Linked DNA regions of Neodiprion lecontei. The protein of the gene in region 1 purifies or fractionates together with the protein of each later gene. This does not show direct contact. Links are inferred from orthologs where the notes say so. Each region holds a gene or a part of one and is shown on either strand. Other genes may lie near its edges. The genes, in order: chromatin assembly factor 1 subunit A and chromatin assembly factor 1 subunit B.

Evidence for each region.
Region 2: the proteins of chromatin assembly factor 1 subunit A (region 1) and chromatin assembly factor 1 subunit B purify together in Drosophila melanogaster (affinity purification with western blotting; 3 studies listed by BioGRID, with this or other methods). This does not show direct contact. The link is inferred for Neodiprion lecontei from reciprocal best matches to the Drosophila melanogaster genes Caf1-180 and Caf1-105.

Annotation. Positions count from the first base shown.
Region 1 is NC_060263.1:21,165,471-21,180,924, reverse strand, and holds the start of chromatin assembly factor 1 subunit A, read right to left. Parts: upstream 6,641-15,454; 5' UTR 6,052-6,640; intron 5,944-6,051; 5' UTR 5,934-5,943; coding exon 5,852-5,933; intron 5,631-5,851; coding exon 4,645-5,630; intron 4,545-4,644; coding exon 4,414-4,544; intron 4,259-4,413; coding exon 3,879-4,258; intron 3,169-3,878; coding exon 2,999-3,168; intron 1-2,998. Other genes in the region: G-patch domain and KOW motifs-containing protein, read left to right, coding at 6,779-6,918, 6,996-7,380, 8,725-8,828, 8,956-9,266, 9,466-9,908; omega-amidase NIT2, read left to right, coding at 10,914-11,205, 12,712-12,896, 13,908-14,076, 14,153-14,386, 14,632-14,723.
Region 2 is NC_060260.1:4,632,555-4,648,927, reverse strand, and holds chromatin assembly factor 1 subunit B, read left to right. Parts: upstream 1-6,973; 5' UTR 6,974-7,274; coding exon 7,275-7,415; intron 7,416-7,568; coding exon 7,569-7,701; intron 7,702-7,779; coding exon 7,780-8,089; intron 8,090-8,167; coding exon 8,168-8,431; intron 8,432-8,540; coding exon 8,541-8,768; intron 8,769-8,850; coding exon 8,851-9,379; 3' UTR 9,380-9,392; intron 9,393-9,473; exon of another isoform or gene 9,474-9,610; coding exon of another isoform or gene 9,611-9,664; intron 9,665-9,772; coding exon of another isoform or gene 9,773-9,938; 3' UTR 9,939-10,085; downstream 10,086-16,373. Other genes in the region: ADAM 17-like protease, read right to left, coding at 56-206, 298-422, 494-594, 696-834, 924-984; cysteine and histidine-rich domain-containing protein morgana, read left to right, coding at 1,486-1,567, 1,692-2,251, 2,363-2,551, 2,684-2,890; cell division cycle 5-like protein, read right to left, coding at 3,097-3,327, 3,446-3,619, 3,707-3,814, 3,936-4,103, 4,189-4,307, 4,397-4,571, 4,680-4,939, 5,038-5,212 and 5 more; peroxiredoxin-2, read right to left, coding at 9,611-9,664, 9,773-9,938, 10,086-10,325, 10,408-10,525, 10,937-11,102; 39S ribosomal protein L32, mitochondrial, read left to right, coding at 12,406-12,496, 12,898-13,152, 13,314-13,456, 13,572-13,691.

The DNA.
Region 1 (15,454 bases):
TAATATTTTTATCCGCTCTGGAGATAACTCATTGTAAAAAAACTTTCAGTCTATCTCTAGATAGCGCTATGGTGAACAAAACAAGCCCAAAACGTTATAATTGGATTAAAAAAATCACCAGAGTTTGGTATTACATTTTATACGTTTCAATCATACGCCTTTTCTCAAATTGTTAACATTTCAGTTTATCTTATTTTCATTTGCCCAGATTCATATTTACTAGATGGCGCGAAGATAATTCCAAACATTTTGTTCTCGTTCCCCAACTTTTGCTTCTGAGAGTGGGACCCATTTACCCTTAATACGAGTAGTTAGGAGGCACGTATTTCCGTGATAAACATCTGCTGTATGTTCTTACAGTAATGCATTTCTGAAGCGTATCTTTGATCACAAAGGTGTTTATTACATCTCGAGGCAAACTAAAGTCGACCATCCGTCTGCTGCGTCATAGTTGAAATCGCAGCGCGATTCTAACACGGAATAGAGTTTCATTTTCGAAAATATGTTGTATTAAAACGCAAGACGCGTTAATAATACTTTGACAATTGTACTTACAGCGTATGCCGCGGCAATCAAACGATAGGGAGACTGTACATATGTTACGGATGCACATGTTAGAGATATATCAAATGTGTATATAAGCGAAAAACAGGAACGGAATTCTCTTATCTTTTCCTAGTTTGTAACCCAATCCATACAACATACCTATCGTTATCGGTTATTTTTTCTTTGTTTTATTTCTGTCTCTATCGCTCTCTGTTTCTTTCTCAGTCAACACTGCTGAAAAAACATTTCACAAAATGTACTTGTATATATGTTGTGGTGGATCTTGGAAATACAACCTACAACACTTATACTACAAGGTCAAGATCATTATCAAGTACTTGTATATATGTTGTCTTCGTCACAGAACCACTTTTTTTACAACCTCTTGAATGCATTTCATGATTTCCCAGATTGTAGCACTGGGCGGGAGAATCCCCAACGTCTTTTTTCAGATTTTCACAAACGATATGGGGATCAAGTAGAAACAGTATCATATACGAGATGCAATACAAGAAAATTCTATATACATGTGAAATTTCTGATCGCAATCAAATTTCCATCCTATTAACCATGCTTGATTTTTGTCCAGCCAAATATTGTTTTTCTTATAGTTTGACATTAATGATTATCTATTTATAAAGTAACAGTTACACTAGTTTCCAAAATTAGAATGAAACAAATGCGAAATTGCAAAAAAAATAATCCAACATAAATGTTTTTGTATCAATTTTATGTATAATTCTTTTTGTCACTTTGAAAATTATCAGTACGATCATTCTATTAGTTTATCTATGATTTTCCGGCAAAAACATATTCCCAACTAATTATTTTTCTGTCAATATTCCGCTCATTTTACTCTTTATACTTTGACACTGTGAAATTACAGTAACTAACATAATGTTTTTTTTTTTATACATATATAATCATTTAGCCGTGAATTTCATTGGTTGAATTCTCTGACCTTACTTTTCACCATCGACTGCCAGAAATTTCTGCCTTAAAACTTTAAAAAAAAAATATGGCTCTACGCGTTCGGTAATTGCATATTAAATCACTGATTTTCGAAATGAACCTATGATGTAATCTTTGTATAAAAATTCGATCTTCTTACCCCATGACGATACGAACCAAGGTAAAGGTTTTTTCCAACATTAGAAATAATTTCTGCACTAACGATTTGAGAATTACATTGTCGTAAAAATCGATGTCGCGAAATCCACTTATGGGTGCGTGCATTTTCCGACAAAAAGAAACATCAAACATTACCTATCGTTCATCCTTAAAAATAATAGCATTCTATCAATTTTTGTTTTCATATGCAACGGTTTATAAGATAGCTCGGTAGTTGTTAGGAATCAAAATTCAACGAAATGAACAGAAAATTACTTGTCATGTACAACGAAAACGAATTGGATTACGAAACCAGTACAAACCAGTACCAGTATGTAGCCTAGGGTGGTCGTCATTTAGAATGTTGCCGAATTTATTCCGGATCACCCCACCCAAACCAACTATAAATAATTCAAAAACAATTCACAATTTTTTTCAGATTTTTATATCAACCGTAACCCGTGCCTGTAAGAGGAAGGATTTCCCAATTTAAAATACACGTGTTTCGGACACGTTCTTAGTATATATTTTGCTGTAAGACTAATAATGTTCAAAAAAATCCATGAATGTGAGGTTCTAGTGAGCATTAGTGCTACTATCTGAGAAAAAATTCACATCATCATACCAAGTAATATAGACAATTGCATTTCTTATAGATAAAAAGAAAACGTCAAATTTCTAGAGTGTGCAATTCGTCGAGATTGGTTGGTATGGTGATGTGAATTTTTTCTCAGATAGTAGTACTAATACTCACTAAATATTCGCAATTACAGATTGATTCGAACATCGTCACTCTTACAATAAAATATATGCTGAGAATGTATCTGAAACAGGTGTATTTTAAATGGTGATATCCATCCATTTACAGGCACGGGTTAGAATTGATATAAAAATCTGAAAGAATTGGGAAATTGTTTTTGAATTATTTATAGTTGATTTGGGGGGTAGTCTGAAAAAAAATCATCAACACCCCAAGTAAGGATCACCCTAATGTAGCCATCATTTTTTTTTTTAATTCATCGTTCAAAAAGATGGTTTAACACCCGCAAGATAATTCTACCCATATCTTTTAGTTCTTTTTGTGATGGCAATTAAAAATTATTAGCATGGATGAATATAAAACCGATAGTTGCACGATTGACACTGACAAACATGTAATACACTTTTTGGAAATAATTCAATGCATTGAAATGTTAATCTTGTTCGTTTCTTCTCCACATTTTTTAATACATACGTTCTGTATTAAAGGTTAAACCATCGGTTCTGGTTTAACGTTCCGACTAAATGTCTGCCAAGCCAAAGCAAAAACGCATAAATAAATGCAAAACTTGTAAGTACTTACCGGATCTTTAGCAAACGGTTTCCGTGGCTTTATATGCGTACTTTTCTTCCTCCACGTTCCCCAAAAGGGTGGTCGACGATTCTCGGCGAACATAAAGAACTTGGGATGATGCTTTTCTACAACTGCGGCATCCCCTTGGTCCACCGCATCAGAGGAACTATCTTCTTCATCTGTATAACATATTATCAAGATTACTTTGCATGGTGCGAAATAGATAACCCTTACTTTATTATCTTTACTTATATATCTGAACTATAAATCAAATGAGTTTTGTAGTAACTGACGTAGACATTGTCCTTTGAAATTTAATAATCCATATACCATCCACTGTGAAAACAATTTTTTCAATTTGATTACTGATTACCTGGATAATTATTTTATAGCTTTTATTTACGTTTTCACTACTTCTTTCAAATTGGTTTCTCTATACTTCACTTCTAATTGAGTTTAATTGAATGAATCGAATGTATGACATTTTTTTACGCCACGGGTTTGACAATGCTCGTTTAACATTTTTTTCCAATGACAAAAATAAGTACTAAATAACCGCACAAATGAATTTTATTAAAAAAAAAAAAAAAATAAAAAACAAGCAACTGGAATAAATCCATGCCGAAATGTACAACAGGAAGTATTTGGCTGAAACTTTGCAAAATGAATGCTCATTCTTATTTTAGAGACCATTGGAAGTGGATTTGCGAAGCTATGTGGAAAAATTCTGGGAAAAATATTATTTCGATAGACACGAAATGGGAAATTAAAAACTCAAGGTATTCCTTGCCACTGACAGTTCAGAATAAAAAATCGATGGAGAAGAATTGAAATTGGGTACTTTGTATTGAAATGCACCTAAGCCTATCGATACATAATAGTTAATTACCAATGATAACAACATCATCCTTGGTCTCACATGGCCAAGTTCTTCCGGATCTACCGACATCATTGCGATTTCGTTTGAGCTGATTGAGATATAATTCGTTTTTCAAGACTCCTTTGTTGAACAATCCATCGAAAGTTAATTTTGTTTCATTATTAAGATTCCTCCTGGTTATCGGAGCTACCTTCATATCTACTTTGACTTCAAATGGCATGAAGTTTTGATCTTTAACTACACCGTCTTCTTCAAGAGCTTTTGTTTCCTGCTTTTTCGGAACAAAGAAGTTTGCAAAATTAGATGCAGCCTTTTGTTTTTTACGCTCAGCCTCTTCCTCTTTCTTCCGACGCTCCTCCTCCTTTGCCTCTTTCTCTTTCTGTTTTTGCCTGCAAAAATTAAGACTGATTAAACTAATATAAAGTTTGCACAAAAAAATTGTTATAATCTTTACCACAATGTCTTGTGACACGAGTAGGTATATGGTATTTTTATTACAGTTCTGACATTCTAGATAGAAATTATACATGTATTTAGTACTCACTCATTTTCAATTTGCTTTTTCAACTCCTTCATTTCTTTCTCTTTCCGCTTTTGTTCTTTCTCAAGTTTCTCCTTCTCCTCCTTCTGTTTTCTACGATTCTCACGCTGCTCTTCTCGCTTTTTCTTTTTTTCCTGAGTGAACAAGTTAAAAACTATAATACTGTTATAACTACTTACTTGTCATAAAAGTCACAAAAGATACTTTGGGTGAAGTAAATATAAAGAAACATACCATTTTCAACTGCTGCTTCTCTTCGCGTTTCTTAGCACTCTGAAGTCGTCTTTCAATCTGTTTTGGAGTTAATTTTCTATTTTTGAATACACCCGACTTTTCACTTCTAGGTGTTTTGCTTCCGTCATTTTCTTCTAAAGTTTTATCCTTTTCTGTATTCTCATTACTAGACTTATCTGGGTCGTCGTCTACATCTTCGTCCGATGATGAACCACCAGTATCAGAATCCGATTCGTCATTCTTAGCATTAATGCTATCAGAATGTATGCTATCCTTTCGATGACAAGTTGAATCAGTGTCTGAATTTTTCGTCTCCTCAGGAAGGAGCTTCTTCTCCTCAGTACTGGTGTTCTGCTCAGTATTTTGAAGTGATTCGATATTATACTGAGATTCTGTAATGTTTGTCGAGACGGCGCTATTCTCTTTGATCTGAGTTGTAGAATTTTTAGATTCTGAACTTTGTTCCGCAGTTTCTTCCGAACTTTGCTCTACGATTTTCTTGGAGCTTTGCTCGAGAACTTCCTTTGATGTTTGTAAGTCTAATTTTACTTTCAATGAAGCATCACTATCTTTGCTGCTGCCGCTTTCATAATCGCTCATTGCTAAAAGTTGGAGATCATCCTTTGATTCTTTGCTCTGTGCTTTTTTTAAAAACCTGTTTAACGAACCGTAATCCTTACGTTTCTTGACATCACTTTCACTATCAATCGGATTTTTTTCAGCATGCTTGGCTGCACCTTCTTCTCTAAATTCCACTAACGCCTTAACATTGTCTTGATCACAAACATTTTCCACATCCGAAACATCCACTTCAATAATTTCAACTTCACTACTCTTGGCCCTTTTGGACGCATTTTGTTTTTTAACTATCTTCCCAGTCCTAGGACTTTTGCTTTCCACCGGTGATGGTGATTCTAGCTTCCTCTTCTTGTTTCCGATTGTATTGGGCGACCCCAATGAACTGACCATTTGAAATGGCAGTTGAGCTGAAAATTAACAAAGGATTTAAACAAATCTCTTGCTGAAATTTATTACAGACCTTAGGTTGTGTAATCAATTGCGTTGTGAATACAATGATTTGTAAAAATTTTTGGCTCATGTCAAATACTTGAAGATGTTGTTCACCAGAGTCCAAAACTTTAAAATTGTGAATTTGGCTCTTGTAATAGATAGAATCGCAAAATTAAATGAAAGTATTTAAAATTACCTTGCTTCATTTTTTTTCTGGGAGGTGTAACTATTTCGTTAGTGCAATCCTTTTCTTCAACGGAGACTTCCATAACTTTCATTGTAAAATACCTGCAATGATATTCGTATCCAGAGCACGTCAAGAATTTTTTACAATCTGACAAGAAAATTAGTTGCCCGGTCGAAAATATTAATAGATTTTTAAAGTAAATTTTTCACCTCTGATTGTTGCTAGTCAAACGATCCCCGGTCTTATAGAAGTATAAATGCTAACGAGGCAAATCATTACTGACTGCTCGCAATACTATAACCTCTTAAATTGACATGAAGTTGAATAAGCAATAGAGAATGAAAAAAATTGATAATATGTTCATGTCATTGAAGAAATGTTGCAGGTGAGATACCGATTAAACTTTGAAAATATTTACTTCAAATTGTTGAATCGTTTGATAAATAACACGATACTACCTCCCACATAAGAAATCGCGCGGGAATTCAACAGGTTTTCTGCCTTGTGATTTGAGAACTTTGTGTACGGCAATGTGTTCCGAAACTTCACTTCGAAGTGCTTTGAAGCCAAATCAAAACGAGCTTGAGCATGGAGCTTTATGAGCCTGAAAAAAATACCACGTTCGCGTTATTCGGATTCTCGATTCATTAGCGCTTTCCTGATCATGGCGGTGACGGAAGATATATTATACATATAAAATTACTGACAGGCTGACTTTGGTACGCCAGACAACTACTAGCGCCACTAGTGGTCGAGATTGGCGGCAGAATCGAGGGACATTTTGCGAACCACTTTTAGCAGCGTGTGTCAGGGGGCTGGGTGGGACACATTTGTTGTCTAGAGAAGCAGTCCATGCTCACTGCCTATGGTTGCAATTCGAATTTATATGATTCGTAGACCAGTCTAAAGCCACGATCAGCTTGTCAAGTGTCAATCATGGCCGACGAGGTGAGGAAAATTTCGTTCGGCTTTTCAAAATCGATAAAAAAGCCAGTTTTGAAAAATATAGTGCAAAACGACAAAAAGAAGATTGATTATATTGAGTGTCTGGATGAGAAAGCGATAAAGGTTATTGGGTAAGCCGCCACTTTAGCAGCACAGGAATACCAATATTTGTAAACATAACCTTAAATTAAATATTTGGCTTTTGCAGTTTGGAAGATAAAAAAGAAGATGAACCGCTGGTGATACCTATGCGAGGATCAAAAACTTGGCATGATAGAATAGTTAATAAAATTGACGCAGATATCTTTGAGCCCAAAGTGAAAACAAATTCAAATGGAGATGTGGTTGATATTGTGGTTAAAAAGGAGCCAATTGGCGCAATGGACACTGACGAAGCTGACATAAAACCTGTAGAATCTGCAACGATAAAACAGGAGGTCAAAGTTGAAGAATCCAAACTGCCTAACACATTGGAAGAGCAAGCGGCGCAAGAAATCCTACAAGATCTGCATAGCACAGAAACTAACGGCAAAGACCCAAGTATTTTTTCCTTACCTGTTAAAGATGCCGCCTCCTTAGCTGGTGAACAAGAGGTAATTTATTATACTTAGTAATATTCACTTCTACACCAAATGCTTTGTAAAATTTATCTACCTCCCAAAGAGGCATTTTTAAAACTTATATTTTATCATACTGAGTTTTCCGTAAATCTGACTGCCTCGGAACTATAGTAATTCGAATCCACACATGAGTGCACAGAAATCGACAAGAGGCTTAGCCTAGCAGGTTGTGCCAACAAAACGGTACCTCACGCTCATGGCACATGCTTGTATAACGGTCTCCTACAGTTGCCGAGCAACCATTTATCACACATTACAAGTACGAATATTTTTACTGGAGTTTCGAATGACGGTGTTAATTTATTGGGTTCAGTGAGTATAAAAAATTATACTTTCTGTCAAACAAATCAGAAATATTCTAATGACCGTTGACGATTCTTTTAATATTTATGAAACGCAATGAATTTGGAAAAATGAGATCAAATCAGTACACTGCAAAAGTAATGGAATAGGAATATTTGAAAGTCTGTCTAAATTTTTCTGGTGATATTTCCTTCTTGATAATTTCCCGAATACCTTATGACCACATCTTTTCAAATATTTATAGTAGGAGCTCGATAACTAGCTACTTCCTGAATCACCGCCTAATTATCTTTCTTGCCATGCATATATCCATGCATGCAAACAACATATCCCCTCTACTGTGAGTACTTTACCAGTAAACAGTCGACAATATACGACTTTGCAGATGGACATTCAAACTTCTGTTAAACGTCGTTGGAAAATTTGTTGAGGCTAGGTCAATCAGAAATATTTCAAAAAGCGCATTTCTGGGTTGTTATAAACGTCATGGCAGTGCATTTTTGACTGGTCACATTTATGAAAACTGGTTTACAGAAGACTTGGTGCTACAAATGACAAATTCTTCACGATAAAAAGGTTTTACTTTCCTAAACATTACTTCTTATTAACAGCGCACCTTGCCAACTCTGCATCGAGATTCTTATCAGCAATATGTATCATTTGTAATATTATATGTCGACTACAAGTTTTAATTAAATTTATAACAATTGTCCTTTTTTTCCAGTCACCATTTTAGAGTTAAATTTTTTAATATTACTCATACCTGTAGTTGCGTGATCAAGTTTTTCATGAACATTTTCGTACAAAAGCTATTAGGTTCGATGTTGAACTTGATCTATTCTATTGCAAAGTTATCAAACTTCTACTGTACGGATAAAATGAGTTCTTTCAAGTCAGAGACCTTAGGTTCCACTGAAAATTACCAAAAAAAAATTACCAATCCATGGTTTTGGTCACTTCTGGATACAAAAAATAGAACTAAATATCCTTCATAGAGCTAATTTGTTATTTCAGTCAACCTTGGAGGACTATGAGAACATTCCAATTGACGCTTATGGAATGGCTATGCTACGTGGCATGGGGTGGAAACCTGGTAAAGGAATTGGTAAAAATGAGAAGTACGAATATTTACAAATAACACTACATTGGAGTCAAACCTACTTTTCCCAGTTACTAATATAATAACATATTGAATGCGAAATGATTAGTTCACATAACAAAGTAAACATTGCATCTTTTTTTTAGATTAGTCGAAGCATCTATACCTGCCCTGAGGCCAAAAGGAATGGGACTTGGTGCAGATAAAGTAACAATGCAGAAACAAAACAGTAAACCAAGAACAAAGGAAGAAGAAGAACTGAAACTTATAAAAGGAGCTTTTGTCAAACTGATTGCTGGAAAGCAAAAGGATTCCTATGGGCAGATTGAAGGTCTCGACGACGACGCGGGTAGATTCATAGTGAAAATGGCACTAGGAGGAAACGTCGTGTCTGTAAATGAATCTGTGGTTCAAGCAGTGACAAAAGAAGAGTATCTGAAAAATGGCAAAGTCCTAAGTTAGTAGATTTTGGCTAATTGTACGGGGTTTTTAAACTGGATTATCGTACAATGTCTTATAAGTTACAAAATTGCGTATGATTTTCATTGCAAGTTGTTCCGAAATTATCCTTTTTAAAAACCCCTTTTAAAAACTTTTCGATGTCAAGTAAAAACTTGATGATTTAGTCTTTAATATATCGTTGAATTAATTTTCAGACTCTGCCAAGTATCAGGAGTACAAGGATAAAGATACAGATAACACAGGCATTGAGAGTCGTTTGCCTATCGTAGAATCATTGGATGGAGAACGAGAGGAAAGAAGAGGGAGAAAGGAAAATAAAGAACACGATGAAAGCATTACCAGTGGAAAGAGAAAAATGAAGAAATCCAGAAGACGGTCGAGCAGTGACGACAGTAGTCCCGATTGTACAAGAAAAAGAAATGATTCGGATAGTAGCGAGGTCGAAAAAAAGCCGAAAAAATCTAAAAAATCTAAGAAACACCGGAATCGCGATAGTTCGGCAGAACGATCGAGTAGAAAGAATCGAAAGAAGGATAAGGAGCGGGAGAAAAGAAAGGATAGAAGATGTTCCGAATCGCCAGAACGAAGAAAGCGCAAAAAACATAAAAGGTCCAGATCTAGGTCACCTAGAAAATGATTTTCATTCATAACGTAATTTTATTTTATGACTACCCTGGACGAACAATTGTATCATAAACTTTTCTTAATAAAATTTGTTCATTTTTAATTTAGGAATCGCCGCTGTATCCTATACTTGACAGTGGACTTGACTTGAGCTTTATACTTGATACTTTTGCAGACTTGTACATAAGTATCACAGTACATACTCTTCATTAAGAAAAATTGTTACATTTTTTAAGATTCTACCTTGACTATAATGAAGTCAAAATATAAGTTTGCGACTATACTGTGCCTTCCAACATAATGAAACCGACGAGATAACCACTAACAATGAAAATAGAATAACAGCGGGGTGAGAAAAATATTATTTAGACGCTTTGGATAGGCCAAACGAGCAGCTTTCGAATCCACAACCCACAACCATTCGCATAAACAATAATATTCATTGTCGAACTGATCATTACAAAAGGCTGGATATGCTGGTGAGGAAGTACTCGATGAAACCAAACATTTTCTTGTCTTTCTTTTTGAACTTATGCTTCAAATACATTCCATAACTTTGGATGGTGTACCTTATAGAAATGCATCTCTACCAAAATGACTGGTTATACATTGTACCTTATCATCAATACAATACACATATTTTTATTGGCTTTTCAAGTTAGAAAGAACGAATAAATACAACAGTGCCATTCTGATAATTGTTATATTTGATATTTCAGTTTTGGCAACATCTTGGTTCCTTCAACCTCAAATAACGTGAGAAAGTTGATGTTAACTGCATTTAAATTCTACTACATATCTAGCTGCAAACTTCTTTCCTTCCATGAGTTCTTTGAAATATATCTAGAATACTATAATACATCGATGTGTATTCCTAAAATTGGATTCCTCGTCTTTCAATGCTGCTTCACACACATCTCTTTCTTATCAGTAGCTACAAGTAGTTAGCATAAGTCGCATCATTCGGTTGTAGCACATAATATAGCCAATCGGACCTAACCTATCAGTTAGTATCTGCATGGCCATGGCATTGAGCAATATCGCTCGACAGTCAAGTAAAGCAATGGCAAGTACGTACGATGATTTTTGCCAATTTCATGGAAACAATTTTGTACTTTTGGCGATCGATAATGTCAATATATCTAATACATATCTTATTAAAGGTCTTCGATTGGCCCTGGTACAACTTGCCGTAACTGACGATAAAGCGACAAACATCTCTCGAGCAATCTCTTTTGTCGAACGAGCAAAACAACAAGGCGCCGACGTCGTTGCACTGCCAGAGTGCTTCAATTCACCTTATGGAACTGGTAAAATCTGCACCCTCTAATTCAACAAACAGTGATCATGCATGAAATCGAGTTGACTATAATCATATCATACATACATACATACTATAAATGCCCGAGTGACGATATTGAAGTTAGTAACGTTATCGTAACGACATATTGGGAAAAAATCACTATTTTCTTATTTTTACAATGACTTTGAAGGATCGAAGATTGAAAAATATGAGTATGTTTTGTTTTATTATGGTTTACTGAACTTGCGTCAAAAAATCCGAAGCTTTGTCTGACTAGTATGTGTTCAAACACAAGAAAATACTAGTGAACAGGGATGAATTCTATGAGTACATTGTGTGCCGGTACACTTTTGAGTGAATGCAATACATGGTTTTTGTCGACCGAATAATATTCCACTTACTTTGACCAGAGTCCCCAAATTTTGACTATTAACATAGCTCACTCATCGCTGACGTAAAATTGCCGAACAGCGCAATTCTACATGCAACGCGGAACAGAAATAGCCGGAGAACTAGTGTCAAAAACGTTGTGTCATTTCAGTAGGGAAATTTTTTATTTTACTATAGGTATACTGTCTAAAATTGAAATCGAAAGTCTGCTTATCTCTATAGCATCTTGTAGTTGAGAGTTATGGTGTTATTGACGATGTGACAAAACCGCGACAATTTTTCGTAATTTTTTTTTTTTTGTCTATTTTCTTTTTAATCAAATCAAATAATACGTTTGCAACTAATATTATGTGAACAAAAATTAGAAATTCAAAATTTGTTGTAATCTTCAGTTCAATACATTTCAATTTTCACATAGCAATTCATAAATATAAACTGTATTGTTATCTATTGTATCTCTATGAGTCTATGTATATTATTATACTTATTATAATAATATGTGACGTTGGTCTATATGATTCGAACTATAAAAGCAACACTTATTCTCAACGTCTGATAACCTTTTTTTTGTATTAATCCTATACGTTTTACTTCTTCATTCGGTTTAATTACTGTCTTTAATGGTTTAGATATTGCATTTATTTTAATTTCTCTGATTAGATTCCTTATACATGATGCCACAATTTTTTGTGTACATGCTTGTTAATATACCATATGTTGAGTGCTTCCAGTTCGTTTTTCGCTTTCTACTATTTTAATACAACTTCAATTATCTTCATAATAGCTTCTTATTTCGAGATCTTTTCCGTCTATATCTTTCACAACTCCTTCTAATTAATGCCTTTTTTGATGACAAGTCTGTGACAAAATAACGATAAGACTACCCGATAGTAACGATCGTACATAAGTACGGAAAGCAATTAATAATTTTGCCTAACTTATTACAGACATTCTTACCATATTCTTTTTACAGGACTGTATGAAAAAGACAAAAACTTTTATGAAATTTATCAACATTATGCCTATACATATTCTTAGCGGGTCAATTAATCTCACGACCGACAGACCCGGTTACCGTCTTGCAGAGACAAATTCAATGACATTATTTTATTTCACAAAATAGCACATTTTCCAAATTACGCTGAAAATGTTCCCGCGGGTGAAACAAGTCTTGCGCTATCAGCTGCAGCTAAAAAAAATGGAATTTATGTAATCGGTGGTTCGATTCCGGAAAGAGATGGGGAAAAGTTTTTCAACACTTGCACGGTCTGGGATTCCGAAGGAAAATTCATCGGAAAATATAGAAAGGTATTTTTGCCAATTTTTTCGGATTACCCGAAAAACTCGTATTACTAAAATTCCCGAATTCCTGAAAAATGTTGGGTTTGCCGAAAATTGCGAAGTTTTCGAAAATTTTGCTCGTGGCTGTTTTCGCTTCTACAAAAATACCGGGATTTCTAAAGCGAACAGAGATTTTCGAAAATTTCGGACTACCCGAAGATTTCGGGCTTGCCAAGAAACCCGACCCAATGCAAACCCGACCCGAACCCGAGTTAAAGTACCCGAAATTTCGGGTACCCGCACACCCCTATCAATCACATCTGAGATAGCGATGGTCAGAGTTTCATCCACTTGGCAAAGAACACCAAATATAAACGCACTTGCTAATCATTGTCGAAATCGGATATTTTACAACAACTACATGGAAATTCCGGTTTTCGAAGTCTGTGGAGCGTGCGTAACGTTTTCAAACACTGCGGAAAATGTTTTTCATTCTTTTTCACCTATAATACATTGTTTCTAGATCATAAAAATTTCGGATTTTATTGGACATTGAACGAAGAATACGCTAGTGTTTTTTTCCAGAATTTTTGGTCGTGCAGATCGTGGTGAAAAATCCATTTCAATATTTATACCAGTGAGAAAAGATGTTTCGTTGCGAGAAAAATAAAATTTAAAAATCTATGGTTTGACGTGGAATGACTCATTGGACGTGTCACACACGTACTTTACTTTTTGGAATATCCGCGCAGATAGTTCGATTTGGGAAGCATTGACGATGCCACTGGCAGTTAGATAAATTGAAGTAACTTACGATCAATAATACAGTGCGTAAAATTGAGTTAATCGAAATAGCCCATTAATCAAAGAATGCCGTAATGTGGAAAATACCGCATTTTAATTGTGCGCATGCGCCGACGTCGTTTTACCGCACTGTTCGGAAATGGGGCGCCTTACGCAGGCCCCGCAGGCTGCGGAAATTCAACTTTGAACCCAAATGTTGATAAGACCTGATTTTCAACTAATAACTTTGTACAGGTGCACTTGTTCGACATTGATGTAAAAGGAAAAATGACATTCAAAGAAAGTGACATCCTCACCGCTGGCAATGAACTTCTTACGTTTCACATCAAGAACTGGAAGATTGGTTTAGGAATCTGCTACGACATTCGGTTTGAAGAGTTGGCTCGTCTGTACCGTAACTTAGGTAATCCGCAATCAATCCAAGCATCTTACCGCGTACCCGCCTTCCCGTAGTTACTCTGCTGTTCATCCTTTGTCAGGGTGCCAATTGATGTTTTATCCTGGTGCTTTTAACATGACTACCGGACCTTTGCATTGGTCTCTTCTGCAACGCGCTCGTGCCAATGACGCCCAGCTTTATGTTGCCGGCGTATCTCCGGCCAAAGTAGACGGTTCTGGTTACGTAGCTTATGGCCACACGCAGCTAACGGATCCCTGGGGAAAAGTGCTTAAGGAGTTGGAGTTCGCGGAAGATATGATTGTCGCTGATATTGGTAACGAACGCATTTCGTCTAATTCTATGAATCCGGTCATTTCATTCGACCGCCTTTCAATTCATAACTCGACTTCACTTTTCTTCTGCCAACAGAGCAAGATAGTCAGAATAATACAAGATGAGATCAGTTTAAATTTTCCGACAGTGCAGCGGGATTTCTACAATAATCGTTTTTTTTTTTTTATCATTTGAAAAGGCCATCATTTCCATGAGATTCTTAATAATCATGATTCAATTTTTTAGATATGACAGTCGTTGATGAGGTCAGAGCCCAGATTCCAATTTTTGGCCAACGTCGTACCGACTTGTATGAAACTTGTTGGAAGAAAAATTAGCACAAACAGCGACAAAATTTGTATCTACCTTAAAATGGATTTTGATATTGAAAAAATCAAACCCTTTTTACTCACCAAACCCATTAAACCATATACATATTTTTTCAACGAGTGGTTTTCAACAGTCGCCTGAAGCTTATTTTTTATCCGAAATTGCGTCAGAATTTTGCCGTGCGTGAAAATCCAGCCACGGTGCTGCATGATGCATATTATGTTATGTATGCGAGCACAGACGATTACTCGATAACACATATCTGCCATCGAAACTTCAGGCTGGATTTTCACAAGCGTCAAATTGAAACGGCAGCGTTACGCCGTCGGCGGCAAGAAGATGCTCATGGAAATGAGTACCGACGGCAGAATGCTGCACGTTGAAACCTACGTGTTAGGTCAATGGATCTCAATCACATTTTTACGCGAAGAATTTAAAAATGTAGGATTTCTTGTTGAAAGTGAAAAAATGGAGAAAACGAAGAAGCGAGATGAAGTAACTGATAGTGTAATCGGACTGCGCGCAATCGATTCCTCTCGCAAAATTACGTCGATGCAGTGCATCAAAGAATTGTTTTAAGTACTTTTCAAAATCGGCCATATTTGGAATGAAAAAATCCAAAGATAGCCTTCCTTTATTTGCGATTCTCAGAGCTCGAAAGCTTTTCGTCTCAGTATCATTTTTGCAGGACTCTTTCTACTAATTAGACCCTCAGAGGAATGACTGAATATATCTAAGG
Region 2 (16,373 bases), on another chromosome or scaffold:
GGAATTACAAATCTCTATTATATCTCCTCCACATCTATAGAAATCCAGTTTCAACCTGCATCTTCCTTAACATATCCGCAGGTCTTTGGAACCCCATGAGTGTGTCCTTCACCACCCTCGTAATGTTCCCAGCTCAGCTTCACATTTGATCCTTTATAGACGATCATAGAACGATTATCTGCGTGGGGTAAATGTCTCCAGGAAGGCTGAAACAGGGAGATCATTTTTGATATTTAGTAGACGAGTACCAGTGCACAGAATATTTTTTTAATACAACTGTGTAGTTGGTGTTATTACTTCGATGTGATAAGTGTCATCATCTGGTACTGTTATTGTCGCTGTCAGCATTCCATCATCAACGTGTACATGAGCATATGAATCCACTTCTCCAAAGACGCGTCCATGATAAAAGTTTTCATGGTCTATACAACAGATCATAAAAGACGGTGGATTAATTAAATTTATAAATAATTTAACAGTCTTTATGCCTTACCAACGTGAACTGTGGTTTCTTCACCATCTTCGTTCACCTCATATGCCTTGAAATTAGAATGTATGACCTCTCGCCTCGGGGTGAGGAATAGGCGAAAATTCCTAAAAAACAGTTGAAACACGTTTTTGCATTGTGCAAAAATATTGGGACCAGAGAAGTTGTCATTCATTGGAAGTGAATGACTTATCAATTGTCAACTCACCTGCCATGAGTGTAGAATTCTACTTCGTTTATTTTGTTGAACGGATGATAGCTGTGCTGAGCACCTCTTTTCACAATTTTGTGTTGAAAATGAGATGCGTGTAACGTTTCGTAATATTTTAAATTGTCGTGAAGACTGCCTGTAAAGAAAAATAGCCTGTAAAAAAATACCGATCGATCCTTTAACTAGATTTGACAGATCGTCAATTTTAATTAAATCATCACTAACAAGTGTTGCAGATATTGTGCAGTATCAACAAAATTGTCAATAATAAATCGCGCGGCTTCATGTTATCGAGCCAAAACCACTCGGGTAAATAACCACCGCGTTTTTAATTGTTATTCAATTCAACCCCAACTTTGATCCCATTCGAAAGTCACAAATGACAGTCACATGTGTCATCTGATCTGGATTCTGGCTTCTGATGCACAGATAATAAAAGTCCTACGCCCATGACCAATGGTTTACGCCATTTTTTAGCAGATTTGGTTAAAAATATCAAGACAGCTGCCTTTCTTACTGAATTATGCATGCGTGTACCATACGATACGCTTTTAGGCTTTTCTGCTCGCACGTAAGAATGCGTTGGCGTTGGTAAATCGTATGTGTGGTGTACGCTTGCTTGCTGACAGCTACACATTTACAGGCTATAGAATCCAACAGAATTGTATAGAATTTGCTGGAAAGCGCGTACAAGATAAAATCGGCCCTCGGGTGGCATTGTATCAACAGATTTGGGTACAACATTTGCCCACTGACACTAATAGGCAAATAAATTGGAATCATAGTGATGTCGGAATCAGAAGAAAAGATGTTGCACTGTTATAATCGTGGTTGTGGTAAAAAATATGATCCTGAAAATAACAAGGAAGGTAAGTATTTAAGGTTATCTTCTTTATTAAAATTTAAGAAATTTTATCTTGTTCTATTATGTATGTACACGATCTCGACACAATAGCAAAAAAGTTTACAAGTTTATTATTTATCCATGACTAGGTGATTGCATTCATCATCCTGGACTGCCTGTTTTTCACGACGCTTATAAGGGCTGGTCGTGCTGTAATAAAAAATGTACAGACTTTACGGAATTTCTGAACATAAAAGGCTGCACCAAGTCCTTTCATACGAACGTCAAACCAGCTGACCCGGAAAAACCCGCCGTTGACAAATCTAGAATGAATGAAGTCATTGAAGTGAAACCTCTGGTGAAAAACGTTAACCTAAGCTTGCCCAGACCTCCTTACGACAGCCCTCAAGTTACTTTGATACCTGTTGTATCACCTGCCTTACTGCAGCAAATTGAGGGCCTTGCTGTACAGGTCACAACGTCCACAGAGACTCAAATTCCGATTGGTGAAATGTGCAAGCGGAAGGGATGCAAAGCCTCGTATACGAAGACTCTGGCTGATCAAGAACCGTGCACTCATCATCCAGGTGTACCTATTTTTCACGAGGGGCTCAAATATTGGTCATGTTGTCAGAAAAAGACAACAGATTTCAGCGTTTTTTTGGAACAACCTGGCTGTTCTCAGGGAACCCATCTCTGGCTGAACGAGGTAATTGCGTTATGACGATGTGCCTGAAATCAAAGTTTAACTAATATATTATACATCTCTTGTGATCTATTTTTTCTATGCACGAAAGTCAGCTTTATCTCTTTTCCTTAGGCTAAGAGCAAAACCATCAAGTGCCGAATGGATTGGCATCAAACCGGAGGGTTTGTTGTTGTTTCCATATTTTGTAAGAAGTATCAGCCTAGCCGGTCGAATGTTAGATTAAATCCAGTACGATTGACTGTGGATCTGTACTTCCAAGAGGAAGATTCCAGATATGAGCTGGATGTTGAACTCAGAGGGGTAAAGTTTCACAATTAATAACAATTCAATGTCGAATTATTTCATTTCAGTGTAAATAATTTTGACAACAAACAAATAGCTAAATTTTGATTGGACAACTATATTTCAAGGATTATTTTTGCACTATTTTAGGTAGTCAATGTGGAAGAAAGTAGCGTAAACATGTTGCCGACTAAAGTAGAAATAAAATTGAAAAAAGCTGAACCAGGGACTTGGGCTAAGCTTGAAACCGCAAATCCAACCAAAACGATAGAAACACCTCCTGTCCTACAGTCAGAGTCTGAGAAAGAGGAGAGCATAACCGCACAAGTAGATGCTGTAGACCTCAGTGATCTTTGAAAATGTAGACTGTTTATTACTTAAAGTTATTTAAGACCAGAAATATCAGCACAAATACATTCGTGAATGATTATCATGTATAAATTATGCAGTCATTTATTAATCTTTTATCATAAGTTGCTAATTTTGGAACGAGGTGAACAATTCCTCATTTAATATTTACTTTTTTTTCTTCAGTATTTCATCTAACCTCTCTTATGTTAACGTTATTGCACTTGTAACTGCTGCAACTGATCTTGAAGCTCAGCAAATTTATTTTGCAAGATACGTTCTCTTTCAGTTTGCCTATTGACGTCTTCCATGAGTGCATTCAGTCGCCTTGGTACTGCAGCTTCCTCTTGTGCTTGGAGAAATTTGAAAGTTGATAGTTCGAGGTGAGCCTGTTCGATTTGTTCCCATAAGTCATGTATTTGTTTTGATAATCCTTGTGCACGTGTCTGTGAAAAGATGTTAGCAGAAATTCATAAAGAGGAGCATATTGATAATTTGAATTTTGTTGAATTCAGAATCGTTCAATCATGACATCACGATACAATTCCACAGATATTACTTTACCTGATAGCCTCCAGTCAATATTTTGAGCTTCTTCTCCATTTTCGCTGCACGTTTTGCTTCCCCAGTCATATGAACACGGTTTTCTTCTAATTTTCTTTCACATGCTTCGACCCTATCTTTCTTTGAAGCTAAAGTAGCTCTTGTGTATCGCTTCTGATTCTCCAGATATAGAATCTATAATAAATAATCGATTTAATTTTTTAATCACGTTCATATAATTCTTTGCGTGATGAACTGTAACAAAAGACGACAAAAACAAACCTGTGACAGACATTCTTCCCAGACAGTAGAATAGGCATCTAAACTTAGTTCTCCATGTGCCATTCCTTCCCGCACAACTGCCATTTCTTGCTCCAAAAGTTTACGAGCCTGTGAAAAGGTTATACTTCAGTTAAAATTGGAGCATAGTATAAAAAAGTCTCGATACCAAAATCAACTTTATTTTTTGTAGGGCAGAACGTAGTATTTGTCAGATAGTAACTTCACTTACTTGCGCAAGTTCTTCTGGATCGTAGTCTATGTAGGGATGCTGTTCCAGAAATGCGGTAGCTTGTACAATTGAAGAACTTGATCCTCGTTTGGTAATTGTAGTCACTGGGTTTTCCAGCGAGTCGTACTGAAGCATTGTGATCATTTCTCTCTTTATTAATTCTTCGGCCTGAAATGAATATTTAATATTTTGAATTTTCATAATCAACATTTACTGCTACATTTGATTATTGGACTATTTTCTGTTTCAATACCCTCTGCAAGTCCGTTAGTGGACTATCCATAAGCGGTCGCAAGATGTTCATATTGATGTCTACGGGTCTGGGCATATCTCGTTGGATCACTTGTGATCTTTGAGCAAGATCCCTTTTTTCTGAACAATAATCAATCAAATTTTCATGACTTTTGGATGAAATATAATTTTGAGCAAATTGATAGTTACTTCTGGATTACGAAACTTACGCTGCTCAATTATTTCCTGTTGACGTCTAGCATCAATGTCAGCTTGATCTTCTATTATATTGTCTGAAGACTCGTTTCCTTTTTCATCATCTCCTTCACCTTCAGGAACAACTATTTCATAATCATTCCGAGGTGTGGGTAAAGTACTTAATCCAGCACGTAGCTGTTCTTTCACCTAATAAAAAAAAATGAAAACTGTAATTCTACTATGGAATCAGCTGATGTGCTGATGAATTGCTGATCTTTTCGGGTACAGCTCACTATTCTCATAATTTGAGAATACCTGCTTGTGAAGAGCAGGGGTCTCTGAACCTTCCAGTCCTTCTTCTGGATTGATACTCAGTTTATCGCGAACAGGTGTCGGTACCAGAGCTCCAGCTTGACTTCGTGTAGATGTTGGCGTATTGAACGAATTTGTAGGTGTACCGTCAGTGCGTTGTGAGCGGAATGGCGTTGCCAATACAGTGTTGGGTGTAGCCACAACATTATTAGCAGGTAAAATACTGCTGAAATCCGAACTGTGTAGCGGTGTATTCAAACCACCTGCAAAGTTGATTTACAAAACATGTGGTAACAGTTTTTAATAACGTTATTGCAAGATTTGTAATCTAAAGACGTAATTTCATGAAAACGAAGTTCACCTTTTAGAGGTGTGTCAACATGGGTCAAAGCCATCACATTTTGAGCCTCCTGGAGAATTCTGTCCGTAGCAGCTGGTGTGCGAGGAGTTGCTGCTGCACTTGGAGTCAGAGAATAGTCCGCCAATAAGCTGTCGGATAGTGTCACTCCACTTTCTGTTGCAACTTCTCGAGCCACCTAATAAAAAGTATACTACATCATTTGTATGTGCTTATGTTGACTGAAAACAAGAATAAAATTGTGGATGGATTGAATACTCAATAAAACATATGCAACACTTGATACCTCAGAAGCTCTACCAAGCTTGACAACTTGTTGTAATTCTTGATCAGATATCTGTGGCTCTGGCAAGACCAGTTTACTCCTCTTTTTAACTGGTTCTTGATTGTTTAGCATTCCCATTGGAATATCATTTTCTTTTCTTTGCTTGAGCTTTTGCTTGTCCTTGCGTCGCTCCATCTACGATTATTATACAATTATTTGGACCAAATAGAATGAGAAAAGTTGCTCTTAACACTTATTGGTTGACTTCATTCAAAATAGAATTCCACATATTGTACCTCCTCCTTTTCTTGCCTCAGGTCTCCATCTAAATGTTGTTGACGCATTCTAGAAAAGTCAGCTGCTAGGGGATCAACATGTTCTATTGATGTATCATAAAAACCAAGTGCTGGCCGTTTTTCAAATGGTATTTCAGTGTTGTAGTTTACGCCACGTTTGCGTTTGTGTTTCTGAGACACTGTAATTCCAGCAGCTCGTAATTCTCTTCGTTTCTGAAGCGCCGCCAATCGTCTGGCTTCTTCTAACTGCTTCTCCCTGGCCTTACGCTTAGCCTTTTTACCTTGAGTATTTGCTAATCTAGCTCGGGCCTCCGACAGCATTTCAAGTTCTGGATAAAATTAGAGATTATTATCAAGTATTTTCTGAATCAATGAACGTAATGAATTTATTAGTTATAATCGTAATACATGTCAACAGTTACCATCTTCGTCCATATCCTTTGGATCAGGGCGAGCAGGTTTTGTCTCTGGATTGGGATCAATTTCGCCTGGTTTTAATTTGCGAGGATCATCAGCTGCATCTTCTCCTTCTTCTTTTTTTTGAGCTTGATCTCTGAAAATTAAATAGTATTCAATGGAGGATAAGATTAGCGCTAATTCTCTATTACTGCTGACTTTTAAGACATGACTCAATCGTACTTACAGCAAATATTCGTAGCGTTCTAAACATTGGGCAGCGGTACGTCCGATAATTGGAGCTATGGTACGCCATTGTGTTGGCATTAACTTTGCCAAATGCAAAAGCTTCTCGTCTTCCTCTCGACTCCATTCTGTTTTCTTTATACTTGGATCCAACCATTCGAACCATCGTGCTTTACATTGTTTAGCAGACTTTCTGTGAAGCAGTGAGGCTATACGTGACCATTGGTTTTTTCCATATTTCATAACCGCTGCTTTGAGAATTTCATCCTAGAAAATATATATAAATTGCTACGTGTGTATAATTATGTCGGACGAAAAGTTTCCAACTCAACTATTATACAGGTATGAGGTAAAATGAAATGAAGTAAGATATATAGTACAGTGAATTTTGATGCAATGATCTGTCCAGAAATCAAGCATAATTATTTTTGAATTATAACCGAAGAATTTAGAGTGCTGATTTTGAGTATTATCAGCGGCTTTTATCTCGCAAGGTTCGGCGCATTTGAAATTCATAATCGAGGTTAGAAAATTGTTACTTACTTCGGTGTTGCGCCAAACACCACCTTTTATCATTATACGTGGCATTTTGTTTGTAATTTAATTAACTACAAACGAAATAAAGTAAGAAGCCACGAAAATTCTCGCTAGCATGAATTTTCGCTACAAATTGATTAAAGGTGTAATTCGCTCTCAATGAAGTTGATGGCGTCAAGGTGGCGTCAAGAGCCAATGCTACCAACAGTCAGGGTTGCAATTTCTTAATTGATCGACCTCTATCGTGACTTTTAGGAACTAATTGTCTCTACAGAGTTGAAACTCCCACATGCACCGATTTTCTTCATTGTTCTCTGAACCACAGACTACGTTGGAGCGTTTCGCGCGAAATTCTTCGTGCAGTACAAAATCAGGTTATGTGTAGAAAATAATAATCACCGATTGAAGTGTGGATTTAATTTTAATAAAAATCGGGATAGACGAAACACGGCGCAGTTAAAATTATCGTTTTCTCATACATGTTCTTCTAATTAAACATAATGAAGTGTACGATTCCTGAAATATCCTGGCATAATCGCGATCCTGTTCTGAGTATTGACCTAAAACCCGGTGTAAATAAGACTTCGGACGGTAAAATATTTTGGCGTTTGGCTACTGGTGGTGCGGATTCTCATGTTCTGGTAAGTAAAGAGTTTCAATTTTTACCATCGCGAATTCTGGGTAATTGACCTGAATGAAAAGCCTAAATTAGTTTTAAAAGATATTCGATTTTTTCAACCTGAATATTGTGACCAAATAAATATTATTCAATTAATTTGCAATATTTAATCTAGATTTGGCATCTCACAGTAAATGAAGTGGGAGCAACGGTTGTGGAGTTTGTTGGGGACTTGAGTCGCCATCAGAAGGCAGTTAATGTTGTAAGATTTTCTCCTTCGGGTGAAATCCTTGCATCTGGTGATGACGGTGAGCAAGGAAAATGGAGTAATACAGTTTTTAACTCTGAATTATTTAATCCTTAATTTTTTTAATTCATTCTTTCAGAGTCTGCGATAATGTTATGGAAAGAAAGGGGCGAATTTGAACCACCCCCACTTGCAGGGGATGATACAAATCAGAATAAAGAACAATGGAATTTATGGAAGATCCTTCGAGGCCACGTCGAGGATGTTTACGATTTGAGCTGGTCCCCTGATTCCAATTTTTTAGTCTCCGGCTCTGTTGATAATACTGCCATTCTGTGGGATGTTGAAAAAGGGCGAAGCATGGGTATATTATCAGATCATAAAGGATTTGTTCAAGGAGTTTCATGGGATCCGTCAAATCAATACGTGTGCACATTAAGTACAGACAGGTAGTAGAGCATATAGTTTTCGACAAAAAATGATCTTTCTCCCGTGCAAATTGGGCTCACAAATTTCTTTGTCCACAGGCAATGCCGGTTATTTGATATAAACACAAAAAAAACTGTTCAGCGCGTCAGTAAGGCCAAGATCCCCACGCCAGCCAATCACCCACTGAAAGACAAAACTGTACGCTTGTTTTATGATGACACTTTTCAATCCTTCTTCAGAAGACTTACGTTTTCACCCGATGGCTTATTGATTATTGCGCCATCTGGCATTATTGAACCTCAAGAATCTTCTGAAAAGTTGTCCAATGCAACAATTATCTTCTCCAGGCATAATATTAAGGAGTATGTACGATTACATTACATTTATTATCGGATTTTTGTATGCAGAATTTGGAAACATCGCTTTTCTACTAACAGACATGTCTAAACGCGATATCTTTTAATTTTTCAGGCCTATAGTAGTGTTGCCGTCTTTGGAACAATTTACAGTAGCTGTACGTTGTTGTCCTATTTACTTTAAGTTGAGAGAAGATGGCCCGGTATCGATGATAGGAATTCCTTATAGAATAGTATTTGCAGTTGCTACAAAAAGTTCCGTCCTCATATATGACACTCAACAAGTTTCTCCAATTGCAATAATTTCGAACATTCATTATACCAGATTGACAGACATTGCGTGGTGAGTTAAATGAAATGCTGCGTTTCACAATGCACAGCAATACGACATTATTGCATTTAAATTCTATTTGTGTGTATTTCAGGTCGTCCGACGGACGTCTTTTAGTCGTTTCGTCAACAGACGGTTATTGTTCAATAATTCATTTCCAAGACGGAGAATTGGGAAATGTGTATGAATCTAGTTTGGTAAACATAAATGACACGACAGAAACGAAATCTGTGCATTCAAATTCATCCAAATCAAAGCGTAAGACTAATAATGCCGAGAAGACTGAATTCATTATTGATATGTGCAGTGACGCAATGGATATTGACATTACGAAACCTGTGAAAGCATCTGACTTTAGCGAAGAGGCGAATAATGGTAATAAAGATGATAAACTTGTGAAAAACGTCCAAAATACAAAGTCGACAGATGTTGATGACGTAGTTCTTGAAGAGACGGAAGATATAAAACTTGTTTACACAGAAGAAAGTAACACAGAAAATATAAGTGACATTGTTAAAAAAACACCTCCAAAACCAATAGTTCCTAATGTGATAGCAGCTAAAACTCCGCGTAGGGTACAGCTTATCACACTCTCCAGTCCGAGAAGTGGGAAGAAGAATTGACCGTTAAATTTAGGTAATATATACACACGTATCTTTCAAGAACAACATCCAATCAACGACAGTGTCGTGAATCTTCAGTACGTCATTAAAAAACTTCAATCCAAATAGTTTATTATGCTAATTTTGAGCAAGTAAAAGATTTCGTTGTTACAAATGTAGTTAATCAAGGGTAGATTTTTTTATTTCTTGAAATTATGAAAAAATATGCAATATAATCAGCATGATAATTAATCAGTTGAGATTTTTCGCAAAGAATTTCTTCTTATCCACCGGATTCGGAATGATCTGAAATACAAAAATCATGTTCGTTAATAAGAGTCGTTACTTACGTGTGTAAAAATTAACAAATACAGTACTGCAGGTACCAAATTGCCTCAATATTCTGATACTTACCGTGTCTTGTCCTGGTTTCCAGCCAGCCGGGCAAACTTCACCGTGTTCATCTGTATATTGGAATGCTTGTACGAGCCTCAAAGTTTCATCGACTGATCGTCCGACAGGGAGATCATTCATTGTAATTTGGCGCAGTACTCCTTTACCATCGATGATGAAAAGAGCTCTGTAAATAGAATGAAAAAATATTTGGCGATACGTCATTTGCATTTTTATATGAAACATAAAAACAAACATGAAAAAAAAATAAATAAATAAGTCAAACTACCTTTACAGGTTGCGAAGTAAAGCCTCAAATGTGTGATCACGTTACCTCAAAGTATGTCCAAGATCTTCCAAGTAAACTCCATAATCCTTTGATATCTTATGAGTGAGATCGGAAAGCAAGGGAATTTTAATATTTTCAAGACCTCCTTCCTTTCTAGGCGTGTTTATCCAGGCGAGGTGAGTGAACTGTGAGTCAACAGATGCAGCAATGACCTCAGTGTTCAATTTCTTAAATTCATTTAATCGATCCGAAAAAGCAAGAATTTCCGTGGGGCAAACAAAGGTGCTGAAAATTCAGAAAATCTAAATAAATGTCGGTAAATTTAAAAAAAAAAATTTCATTCCCATTCCAGAGACTGTGAACTTACAAATCCAACGGATAAAAAAAAAATACTAAATATTTTCCCTTGTAATCCGTGAGCTTAATTTCTTTAAATTCGCCTCCAAGAACAGCCGTACCTTCCCAGAACGGTGCTTGTTTTCCAACTGAAACAAACGGTACGCATGGTTAATTTAGATTTTTTTTTTACAAGAAACAGGTCAATATGTATTGGAATCAGTGCTAATCCCACCACCTAATCAGAGATTAGATAAGATGATGATACGAATTTAATACACCTGCTGTTAATATTGTCAATAAGGTGTAATAAATTACAATTTCAAATGGTTGGTATTCAAAAGTCCCATATTGAGATGAATTGAGGAAAACGAGATTGAATTCTCGTAAAGAAGATAACTGTACTTTTTTGCTGATATCAATAACTATCAAGTATTCAATGTCGTGACATTTCCTTGATTTCTCATCGCATTATTCTCGCCAGTTTTAGGAAAGACATGAAGATAAATTCGCTAATGAATTTTCGGCCCCAACAAATAAAAATATTTCGCTCAACTCACTGACTGCTTGAGTTGTCTGCAACTGGTGACCCGCGTGTTTGGTACCGGTTGGATATACGGTGCCACCAGCGAACGAGTAACACGCTTCATCCTCACCGAATAAGCCCTCACTTTTCGTAACAAAGCACGAAAATGCGATTGTAACGAGAATAATCAGTAGCCGCATCTTCGAACGATTCTGCACGTACGCACTTGTTACAACGCTCCACTTTATTCTCTCGTTCTAATCTATACGCCCACTTTTTTAATCTTACTTGTTTCTTAAAACCCGCTTCGAAAAAAAACAGCGCCCCGGCGTCGCCGTCCGCCGCTTCGCGCTTGACCTACGAATCAACAAAAAAGGAATACGCGAATCCAAAGTCGTAAGCCCGCTTTCCATGTGACGCATTGAAGATTGGAAGCATGCATCCTACGCACGACGAAGGGAGAAACCCGATTGGTGGTCACTGAATAATGACAACAGTTCAGTATCGATAATACCCGTTACTCCCAAGTTATCTGAGGATTACTGTAACAAATTGATCTATCCAATTCTGTGTAATTCAAACTGCGGCTTTCAGCGTCACAAGAATGTTCGTTATTAGATTTTGAAATACTTCCTATATTTGAATTTGGTACGCGATTATACTGAAATCGCGCGCATGCATTTCTCTTATGTGGATTCACGATACAACATGATTAGGGTGCGTTCCTGACACGAGTAATGCTCTTGCTCAGGCATCTCTAAGAACCAATCGCGTGCCTGGAACATAAGGCCGTCTTAGATCGTCAACTAATCACGTGCGAGATTGTTTAGGGTTCATTTTGAGGTGTGGAAATCCATGAAAATCTTCACAATTAGTTTTCCCCTCATTACTCATGTCTTTGTTATTAAAAATACACTGCATGTATATATTCTTGTCTCGTGGTTCCTATTTCAGGCTGTCGAGCAAGGTCTGCAGAATATCAAAAATCAATGTGTTCCAATCGAAACATCGTTATATTTACTTGCATTGTCATTGAGGACGATCCCTGCGGACGCCGTGAGCGCGGCAGTATGCGGAACGTACAAAGCATTTCCGAATAAACTGGGATCTGAATAATAAACGTGGTAGTACATGTTCAATACGACGATTCCGACGCAGAATAATATTGTCCAAGTCTCCTGCAAAACGCCACTCATTATAACGCGGTTAGGTTATTGCTGGTTTTTTGATCCGCTGCATTAACGACGGGTAGGAAAAAATCGTTTGTGATTAATCGTCGCCTCCATTGGGTCATAAGTAACTTCTAACGTATTATGCGATTCATTCCAGAGCTCAAAGTGTCGTGCGTATTTTCAATATAACAATCGTTATTCGTTTATGATCTCACATTTGACGCGAAAATATAATAGCTCGAATATCGAGTCCAGCTGATCGATCTGGGTTGTTTTGTTCGTGTCGAGTATCGAATATCGGAATCACGAAGTAATACTTGCGACTAGAAACATGGCGTCCGGCCTGGTAAATCGCGTTCAGATTGCTTTACAGAGATTTGATAACATAATTGTGAATATTCTGAGTCGGAGATTTCCTCCAGGTACGGAAGTTACTATTATCCTTTTTCTCAAAGTTAGGAGGGTCGTGTCGAGGCCTAACAATGAAAATACCGATATTCCAACCTCACTTTTTGCCCGTCTTAACCTGGAAGCTCTATTTCACGTGAAACTATATCGGAGCGTTCAGCCGGTGACAAAATCTCGGACAAAATATCCGAATGAATGAATGCCTGTAAATAAATAAGCTGTTAGTGACGTGCGTTTGTTGGCTACATGTCCGAGATGATTGTCATGGGTTTCACTCCATGAAAAGTATAATCAGTCAATTTGTAAATAACAGATTATGTATGATTTTGGTGTGCATGGAGGTCTGACTATCATAATTCAAAATAGCTCGGAGTCGATTGTATTGTCTGTACCAATAGATCATTAATAATTTCAGAAGCGTTATGTGTCGTCGAATTGAATGAGGGGCAAAATTGGCCGCAGCCGATCCCTCGAAGAAGTCCATTTTCCATAGAGAATATTATTGATAATGGTTTTCTGTGGGGTGTTCCCACACATAAGCGAACAATTGAAAAAAGATGGAAACGACGCTTTGGAAACCCTAAGTATATTTCGAAATTGTTGTCACCGAAAACAAACATTTTGACTTGTCACACATGTGGACACGATCACGAAGCTGGTATTCTTTGCAGTGAGTAAGATGATATATTCCCCTGAGAAATCTGTTTTATTTTCTAACATAGTTAGCAGCTTGTATTATTGTGCTGAATCAGAGTAACGAACCAGGTGAACGAAGAGTTTCACTGAATTGTTACGGATTTTTTTGTCCTATCTATGTCTATTATTTTTCAGGACACTGTTACGACAAAGTAATGGGTGAAACAAAAGAGATGCAAACTGCTATTGTGAATGATTTAGGTTTGAATCCAGTCGAGAAGGATGTCATTGTTTTATATGACGGTGAAAAGAGTGAGGAAATGGTAGATTATTGGAAGGTACGATGAAATGCTTTCACTGATGTTACGGTTCATGCCAACTTTGAAAGGTTGTTTATTTGACTGTCTTATGTTATTTTCGTTTCACTTTCTGCTTTTCTTGCAACGTAAACAGAACAAGAAAATCGTGGAGGTACCTAGAAAGAGGCCGAACTGGTTCCAGAAAAATCTACTTCAACGAACAACGGAGGTACCTTCCGACAGTAAAGAAGTTGAGCCCACTCATCTGGCGTAGATACATTTTTTTGTGGAAAACCTTCAGTTCTCTGGAGATACTTCAAGTAAAGTAGAATAAAAGTAATAATAATAATAATAACTTGATAGAAATTTCTCGAATAAACGAGGAGATCCTAATACGGTAATTATTATACATGTGACTAATCGATCCCTTCCATCCGTATTAAACAATGTCAATGAAAGAAGGGAGAATATAAATATGTAGTTAGCTGATTTATGAAAGAAACCTTGATAGTTGAATCGGTTGAACCCCCCTCATTCACCGGTGAAACCAGAAATTTAAAAAATTTTTATAGATTTAAAATGCAGATTTCAAGTTATAGTAGTCGATTACAATTGAAAATCTGCATGATTTTAGAAAGAAATATCCAAAATAGGCTTATGGCCTTTCCTCTTCGCCTCGAGGTTTACGACCGACTATCGAGGGTTCGGTTTACGAGTTTTGGGTTATGGATTAAGGCTGCGCGGTTGGTGGTTTGCGGTTTTGGGCTCGCGATTCGTGGTTTATGGCTCTCCTAGATCCGCGGAAGCGTTGAGAGCTTGAGGTCGATACGTGACTATTGCCCAGCTTCAAATTTCCCCCTACAAAAACCCCTTTGGCGATGAAATCGTCATTAAAAAGGGTATAAAACTCGCTTCGCACCGGGCGAAAATCACTCAAATATGTGAAATTGCGCCTTGTTACGTACAACTTCGCAAACTCCCTGCAATGCCGTTAATGTTTATCGGATGGTGGCGCCGCTAGGGAAAATTGTGCGAATTAATTTTACCGCGGATAGTAAGGCGGGTGTAATTACAAATTTCCTCCAAGCATGCATCGAGAAACTCGTCGTTTATTGCCGTAAAACATGACAACTGCGTTTCATCTGCAATTAAATAAGGACAATTAACGTGCCGGTCAAACCCGCCGCTCCAGATTTCATCTGAACGTCTGATATTACTTTAGACTGATAATTACGTTTGCTGTAATTGGGATCGTCAATGTAATGAATTGTCTGAGAACGCAGTACATGTAGAGAAACTTCGAAGGGAACAAAAATCGCTGGCAGCGTTCCAAATACTTCTATCTTCTTCTACCAAGACTCGCTGAAGATATAGTAGATCTATTGTATATACTCGTGCGGTTTTTACAGGTACATGCATACATTTGGCCTGGAAATAAATTGTTCCAGGTCTAAAAACGGAAACGGTAAATTTGTCTGGAGATTTCTCGCGACAAATTATACCGTTTCATCTTTCTCCTCTTCTTTCGCATCTTCGCGACTGCGCATCACGACATCGGATACTTTTTTTCCCCAATTATTCATGACAATCGTATAGGTATATAAATATATGTAATACGTCGATGCCCCGAATCCGCACGACGATATTTTTCCTTGTAATGACCGCACGCTTTGTGTTACAGCAACAGGTTTTTCGCTCTGGCGAAACGATAAAATTCGCATCAACAGCCTCGCTGTAATTTGTGTCACGCAAGAAATCGCGAAATTCGTTACCAATGAAGGAACCGAACGTCGATTTTCCGTCGATGTCTGGCGATTCTTCAAATCCCGCCCTTTTCGTTTGAGTTAGGACCGGAACTATGCGGATGTTACAGTTACTGCCGTATTCGAGTGTACGCCACGTTAAATTACATCGTCCACTAATTAATCAACTGGTGTATATTTCGATCCCCTTGGCTTTGGGATAAATGGGTTACAACGAACGCTACTCGTTTCTTTATACACCGGATGGTGCAGAGAGCGGTAATATTATAATTGCGCGGGGCTTTCCTTTGATCTCGATTTTGGACTGACCGCTGGTCCAAGTATTTCTTCGCACTCCGGGCAGGTTTGGATTACTTATTTGACTTGGATTATTTTTTGTCGATTCACCCTATGCGAGAAACTCACGTTTTCTCACGCCTTATACGGCTGATTCCTACCTACGGATTCCTTTGATGTTCCCAGGCTTGCTTAGAATTTGGGTAACTGAAAAAACCTCGCAATACAATGTTTATGAATTCTCACGCGAGTCCCTCTCGTCCGAGGATAATATAATACCTTGTTCGTACCGACTTTTCTCGCATATACCCTTTTCCGTGCTGTTTTCAACGTCTGAATACATTTCCGGTTGAAATACATTCCGCTACGTGAAACACATTATTCAGACTTTCATGGGATTGCGGGAAACACACGACATATCTGTTTCAGAGGCAGGCTCGACACGACCACCGATGTACGGGTATAATTGTCTCAGAGTTATTCCCCTTGTTTTCTAGACTTCAGCAAATTGTAATTCTATTCATTATTTTACTATTGATACATCATTCAAGGTAGAGTTTTAAATGGGAGTAAATAACTTATTTATTTTATACATCATGGAATCGGTTTCCACATAATTCTTCAAAACCTTATATCAGAGGGGAAATTTTCTGCTCGGTGTAATTTTGAACTTAACATTAAACTGGTCGTATAAAATTGAATAAAATTTGTACCAGGAAATGATACGAAAAAACGGTCTTTCTTGTTTTAGAATTTCAACAGTTCCTATCGATAGAGAAAAAAATGTGTGTCCGTTACTTGGAATTTTCTTTTTACGTTAATCAGTAATTTTCAATGATAATTGTATAGCACAGAAGAATCGATGATGGCTTAATTTGTAAAGTGCCGCGGTACGTCTATTTATTTCAGCTTGTAAA